2 linked regions of the Oryzias latipes genome follow. The protein of the gene in region 2 purifies or fractionates together with the protein of the main gene of each other region. This does not show direct contact. Links are inferred from orthologs where the notes say so. Each region holds a gene or a part of one and is shown on either strand. Other genes may lie near its edges.

Region 1 (3,833 bases), on a different chromosome or scaffold from region 2:
AAGTTCCAGGAAAATAAAAGCAAACCACCATAATAGAGTATATTGGTAAACACCATGAGTTGACTTAACAGGATTGTTTTCTTCACAAAATAAAAATTCGGGTAATTTTCCTACTCCAGATAAGAGAATTGACCAAGCAGATCTAACACTAAATAACTGGTTACTGAAACCAGCAATAGTGGTCATAACTGAACCGTTTGAGTATACAAAGTAGTCATGAGACATAGTCCTATTGTGTGCTTACATGTGCAATGATTGTCTAAACACAATGAGCAGTACAAACACCTCCCTGTGCACAACACATCAGGACGCTGGCTTCTCATTTAGAAATGGGGGGAAAGGCTACAATTCAGCACAATGTGACCTGACCAACCCAGACCCCCCAATTCAATTCAAACGGAACTGCATGTGCTAGCATAAGCAGGCGCAGCTCATCCCAAGCCCCCGCCCCTCCCAGCGGCTTCCCAAACTCACAACGCTGACAGAACATCACTCAGACAGCCATGACATCATATACTGGGATTCAGAAAATGTATTGCTTTCACTTTGGTTTACACTGATAATTCAACAAATCAGATGGGGTATGGTTAAACCTATTAAACATTTGTGACAAAACACCCCAAAGAAAGACCCACTCAAATCATCTTTGGATCTATTTTAAAAGCATCCAGTGATGTTTTAATTATGATAATGATTTAATTATGATTTTTAGCCAAAATCAAACACCAGTGAGAGCAGCAGCAGTTCATTAGAAATTCACCTCCGAGTTGTGGACAGGACTGTTTGTGTGGAGTAAGTCCGCCCCCACTTCCCATCATACATCTGTTTACATGCTTTCCCACAAGTTTACAGCCCCTTACAACCCCAACCTAACATTAGCGGTGCAACAAAAATGGCGAGCAAAATTTGAAGCTATCCAGCTGTACAGTTGACCCAGATGCCAGCTCAGACGAGGAAAACAAAGACAGACATGGATCTGGTCGTCTACAAGTGGTTGCATAAGAATGGCTTGCCAACGTTTTTTCTACATCACAAATACAATCCATTTCAAACTGCATTTTCCCCCTCTGCTCCTGATTAACCATTAGTCAAGAAAAAGTCAGAAATGCAGTTTTGAACATAAATTTGTTTATATATGTCACCAATCATCATTAACTGCATTAAACCATTTCAGCATCACCAACAGTTTCCTGGGTTTAAAAGAGTTTCACTCACCCGTTAAGACGCTTTAGTTTCTTTGGTGGCAACAGTTTCCAATTCCAAATCTCTTTAGCAAAAAGAGAAAGGAAATAGTTTATTCCCAAAGATAAATGAATAAAGTTAAGTGTAACCAGAACATTTTCCTGCAGAAAGTACCCGATTGTGCAAGAAAATGATTCTAGTGAACACCATAGTACAAGTTCCCAGAGGCATTAACTTGTAATATGACCTGCAAACTTTGAAACATTCCTAAAATCACATTCAGGGCAAACATCCAAATTATCCTGCACGCATAGACACTAGCATGAAGTATTATGCAAGTTCAGTACATACACTCAAAGTGAACTGTGGTGAAATGCACGTTTACACTGCCTTAACGTGGTACAGAGGTTTCTTACAGCTCGTCAAAGTGAAGGGAAACCAAGTGCGTGTAAAGTGACAGCAGGGGACAGTGAGAGTCTGTGTAGGTCAAAGTTACAAGTCGGGTCCTGAACGGCCATTATCTCAGCTGTTGCCCGACTTGCAGCTTAACCAACATGGCTTCTCTCTCCAGCTGTAGGTTTGCAATCAAATCTAAGAACCTCGAGTGATAAGTAAATTTACCACCGATGCATATTCATCTAAACTCTGATGTCCACCTCGGTGTTGTAAGATCAGGACGAAAAGTAATGTGGATTTGACTACAAAAAAACCCAGACCAGATTAGGGGTTTAGGGGTATTGCTGTCGTACCGCTTTATACCATAGGGGGCTTTTATCTAACAACTCCGCAGGTTAATTTCAATATAGATTTGAAATTAATTCATGACATTTTTAATTTATATGCGAAGTGATAGTAGTAAAACAGTGTTCTTAATGCAATTTGTGCACAGTATTACCTGTTCCCACCGACGAACCTGCGTCGTCAAATTAGCATGTTGCTAAGCTAATGCTAATAGCAACTACGAGGTATTTTTCCTCTAATTTAGCGATATTGGTAAGTTGTTTACAGAGAACAATGATAGTCTAGACAAAGTAAAAAAAAAATACATTTAAGACAATTAGTTAACAAAATACGCATTTTCCTAGCTACAAACATACAGCGACCAATCTAGAATAGTTAAGCGAAAGGACAAGGTTAAACCGCCTTGTTAACACATTTAAAATGGCTTTATTTTTCATTTGCGTTTAGGAAAAAACAAACGAGAGTTGCATCTTTAGCAAAACTATAAAACCAAACCGCCTTTCTAAACGCAACCTGATAGGATAGGAAAGGATAGCATAGTAGTACTTAACAATATTAGCTCCGTCATAGCTAACTAAACAACAGCGGCTGGTCAACTTATCTACCGACCTCTGGTCTTTCCTCCAGCTCCTTGCCTGCATAGCTTAACACAAGAACATAAATAAAAAATAAATAAAAATTAAAACAAAACTTACCTCATTGAAATATAAAGTGCAACAGAGAGTGGAAAATAAACTAAGTAAGGCTAAAGAAATGCAATGCGTTTGCAGCATCTACGAGTGGGGGCATTCATCCTCTGCACGATCGCCATTTTCTTGGCTCGCCGCTTTCGTTTGTGCTCTACGCTCCCCTCCTCTCTGCGTTCACTCCGTAGACATTAATAAGGTTTACACTGGCTCAGGCTGTGTACGTGTGTGATTCTAAGAGGGGGGAAGGAGGCGGGGGCGGAAACGCATAACCACTTCCTCTGACTGAGAAGACAAAACGCTGTAAAAACAAACAAACAAGAAAAACAATATATTATAGAAAAGCTATTCAGTCGCATTAAATTCTGCTTTCATCAGACAAACATAAACAAAAGTATATTGTTTGACGATTTATAAATTTATTAAAATTTAAGAAAAAAATTTGATGTAAGATTTGAAACACATAGGAAATGCTGTCCGTTTTAAATTTGTCTCAAATTATAGAATTTTGAAAGTGTGTCACTCCCCATCTAAAACATACTTTGGTATTTCTACATAGTTAAAGTTTGATGGCAAGTACGACAATTGTGACAAATAAATGCACATTTTGTGTATGAAATTACACATTTAAAGCAAAATACTTTAACTTGTGGATGAACAAGACAAGGAACTTTCCTTTAATAAATTTGTAAAATCAACTGAAAATGGACAAAACTAGAAAACTATTGACAAGGTAAAAATACTTATAAATACAAATACTAATAAAATACTAATAAATAATAGTAATAAATAAATTATACATATACATATACATATATATATATATATATATATATATATATATATATATATATATATATATATATATATATATATATATATATATATATATATATATATATATATATATATATATTGTCTATCTATCTATCTATCTATCTATCTATCTATCTATCTATCTATCTATCTATCTATCTATCTCTCTCTCTCTCTCTCTCTCTCTCTCTCTCTTTCTTTCTCTCTCTCTCTCTCTCTATCTATATATATATATACATACATATATTTATATATGTCTATAAAACTAAAAACAAATGCCCCTCTAACCCTTCCGCAGGTGGTTTCTCCTCCAAGCTCGGGTCCTCTTCCAGAGGCCTGGGAGCTTGAAGGTCCTGTGCAGTATCTTGGCTGTTCCTAGCACTGCGCTTTTCTGGACTGAGAGGTTTG
Region 2 (3,611 bases):
AGTGCTAGATTGCTGGTTGAGAACAGGCGGCTGGATCGGGAACGCTGGTTGGAGATCGTTCCGTGACTCTTCCTCCCGCTCCTCTTCCTCGCGCGAGCCGCTTTGGTGAAGGATCCGAACCGAGAGCGAACAGAAAGACGACAGAGACAGACGAGGAAGAGACGAGTATCAGAGGACGGGTGGTCCTCAGGCGAAGTACATGGTGTGCTGTGTGTCGTAGTGGATCTGAACCGCCTTTGCCAAAGCCTGCGGGTCGCGGCCGTTGCTCTGACCCGACACGTGGCTCCCCTCGGCGCTGGAAGAAAAGAAGCCGACACACAGCGAGTCAGAACCGACTTCACGCTCAAGAGGCTCCTCTGCTTTCTGATCACATGCAACTGGACTCATCATGGTGCCTCCACATCTTCTAATAGCCCAGACTCGTGGTTCTTCTGGAACCTGATGTGCTCTCGCACAGAGCGATAGTCTCACCTGTCGTGGTCTTTGTCCACCAGGTGGTAGCGAGCGCGAAAAGCAACCAGCCTGGCGTAGTAGGCAGGCGCCGGGATGGAGACTGAGCGCGTGCAGCGCACATAGGTGTGGCACAGCTGGTAGGTGAGGAGCTGCAGCTCGTCGGCCGTGAAGCAATTATCATCCCACAGGACGTGGTAGTGGGAGGGGCGACTGGTTCCCTGAGGATGAGAAATTGTTTGATTTTATTTTTAAAAAAAAATCTGATTATTGTATATATCCAACACCTTAATTGTCCACTCAGATCTTCAACATACTTCAACCAGTTTCATTATTTTCAGTATCTTTCAAACAGATTCCTAAACATTTATGCAAGAAAAGCAATTTATCTTAGGATCAGTAGTCTAGCTTTTTAGCAACTTTTGGTGAGATGAGCATAAAGCTAGCTTTGTGGTGGTAGTAAGTTTAGTGCTAAGCTTTGTCATGATATTGTTGTCACTAGGCTAGCTTAATTAACTACTTCTGTTGTTATTAGCATGAAGTTAAGCTTCTTACAGTTATTTCTTTGTTTTTTAAGCTAATTTGACAGTGTTAAATGTTTTTTTTCCCAGTTTTTAAATAATGACAGCTTTTTCAGATAACAGTTAACCAATAACATCAACAAAGCAATCACAGTCATTTCAACAGGAATTACATTTAGCAAAGGCATCATTTAAACTCTCTTATCCACTCAAAAAAGCTTTTGTTAGCACCCTAACCCCCCACCTGAATTCCAGCATGGCTGCACAAGTAGAAGTCAAACTCAGACGGATGCGTGATGGTGCTGTCCACAGTGGTGCCGGCTGGAACATTTCCGCTCTTCCCCACCTGCAGAGCAAAACAAAAGCCCGTGAGACTAAACAGAAGTACAGTGTGTGCCGCGGCGGGGGCGGGTCCACCTACCCTCTCAGCTTTGTCGGAGCAGAACAGACGCGTGTGATGGCGCTTCTGCACCACGATGTAGGTGATGCCAGGCCTGTAGTCCTCTTCCAAACTGATGCACGCCTTCCTTATGGCGATCAGCTCCGGCCAGGCCACCTGAAACACGGCGGGAGCGTCAGTACGGCCAGACTCGGGACCCGTCCCGCTCTGGACGGCTTCAACTGTGCACTTCACCTGTTTCATCTGTCCCTCGGAAACGCCGCCGCGATAATAAATGATGCGTGTGGGCTTGAATCGTGTGGACTTGTAGAACTGGATGAGAAGCTCGCGCACCATGTTGGTCAGGTCCTGGATCACCTCCTGGCTGAAAAGCTGCTCCTGTAGAGACCATTTCAGTCATTCCCTGCCCAAAACTACAGCCCCTCTTCCACTCGCCCTGACACAAGTCATGCAGTCCAACAGGCACCTGGGACATGTCCTGCCGAGATGTCTGAACCCGCACCGTCGCACAGTACCGGCTGGGATGGCCGTCCATGCTGCCCACCACGGCTGCGATGGACGGCTTCTTGCCGTCCCCGGCAGGAGGATGAGTGACATCGGCACCGAGGAAGATGACCGGCTGCTGGAAGACTGACGGCCTAAATGGAGCGCAAGAGAGATAATGTTGGCAACTGCATTTGTAGAAGTGTCTATGCTGGGGCTACTTTTGTTACTTCAGATCTAAAAACAAACTGGCTTAATGTTCCAGGACATTAAGAACTTCAAGTCATCTCCTAACGTGTGCTAACGAGGATTTCTCTAAATGAATATTTCACCATGACACAGGTACTGAGCTCAATGATGAACCCAGTGGAATACAGCTAACTGAAATCTGAACAAGATGGACGACCCAACTACCTAAGCACATTCCTATAGACTTCTCCAGGCTGCAGATTAAGTCATTATTATTTTTTCCTGAGAAACGCAGTTGGTAGGAACTTCCTGTATCAGTAAACTGACCTCTGATGAGGCACCAGCACATTGTTGATGCCTCCCAGCTTGGCGTTGATCTTCAGGCAGAGGTTGGACAGAGTCTGAGGAGACGTCTTCACCACATTCTTCACTTGCACACACTGAGTCGCCATGCCAAGGAGGGTGTCCCCCACCCGCTTCACTTCGGCTGCAGATCCAAAGGACGCAGAGGTCAGCATCACTGGAAGGTAGAGGGACCCGAGCAGGGCGACTGACTCGTACCGTAGACAGGGGTTTTTCCCGGCAGGATGACCACGATCAGCTGGAGACCCACGTACGACATCTTGAGGTGTTTGAACATGGGCTCCACGCTGTCAGCTCCCTGGGCATATTTACAGAAACACGGCTGACCCTGGATGGGCATTCCAGCATCCTTTGAGATCTTCCTCAGCTGGTCCGTGAAGCTCCTGCAAGGAGAACATCAGTCTGATGAAACCTCTCCATACCTGGGCTTCTTCGTCACTTGAAGAGCTCAGAGGGACTACTCACTTGAGCAGGTCCTCCCGGCACTGCTTCTGCGGGGCAAAGCAGGCCACGGCCCACACCTTGATCTCAATTCCAGCATAGAACTGCTTCCCTCTCATGTCCCACACGCCTTGATTGGGCGTGGCCACGGTTTTATTCTGCGGAGAGAGTCCCTGCACTCTTAGTCAACCCCACAGCTGGAGGAGCCTTCAGCAATGTTAGTAAACTTCAATCAGAATAAAGAAAAGAATCATTCTGAGTTTATTCTGAGCACTGCTGACTTGTTTGGAGGAGGAAAGCTCGGTTTCGTGAATGAAATGAAAACTGCAGCTCAGAGTCTGAAAGAAGCGTAAACGTCAGAAGCTAAAACGGTTATTCTGAAATGGTTTGAACAATTTGAGTAGAAGAAAGCATAAAATTACAAAAGGAGTTTAGAAAATTATTTTAAGCAAAAATGTAAAAAAACAAACAAAAACACAGATGTGTTGATTCAGCGAGAAAAACTGCCGGTTAGTTAGAGCAACACTACTGAAGTGCAAATCACATTAACAAATCACTTAACGCAAAAACTGATAAAAGATGACAACGACAATTAAACTAGAAAAAGAAAACGACTTTTTAGATATCAATTCAAAACAAAATGCCAAAAAACAAAACATTCAACAACAAAATAAACCCTCAAAAAGCAACAGTCATTTCCAGAAATAAAAATGAAATGTTAAAAGTAAAAAAAAATAAACCGGAAAATGTTATGGAATATCGCA

The links.
Region 1: the proteins of protein argonaute-4 (region 2) and tnrc6a purify together in Homo sapiens (co-immunoprecipitation; 4 studies listed by BioGRID and IntAct, with this or other methods). This does not show direct contact. The link is inferred for Oryzias latipes from reciprocal best matches to the Homo sapiens genes AGO4 and TNRC6A.

Annotation. Positions count from the first base shown.
Region 1 is NC_019866.2:17,691,204-17,695,036, reverse strand, and holds the start of tnrc6a (trinucleotide repeat-containing gene 6A protein), read right to left. Parts: upstream 2,828-3,833; 5' UTR 2,619-2,827; intron 1,268-2,618; exon of another isoform or gene 1,216-1,267; intron 1-1,215.
Region 2 is NC_019869.2:20,064,922-20,068,532, reverse strand, and holds part of protein argonaute-4, read right to left. Parts: intron 3,006-3,611; coding exon 2,872-3,005; intron 2,790-2,871; coding exon 2,605-2,789; intron 2,531-2,604; coding exon 2,371-2,530; intron 2,010-2,370; coding exon 1,838-2,009; intron 1,750-1,837; coding exon 1,606-1,749; intron 1,528-1,605; coding exon 1,393-1,527; intron 1,318-1,392; coding exon 1,216-1,317; intron 672-1,215; coding exon 472-671; intron 296-471; coding exon 187-295; 3' UTR 1-186.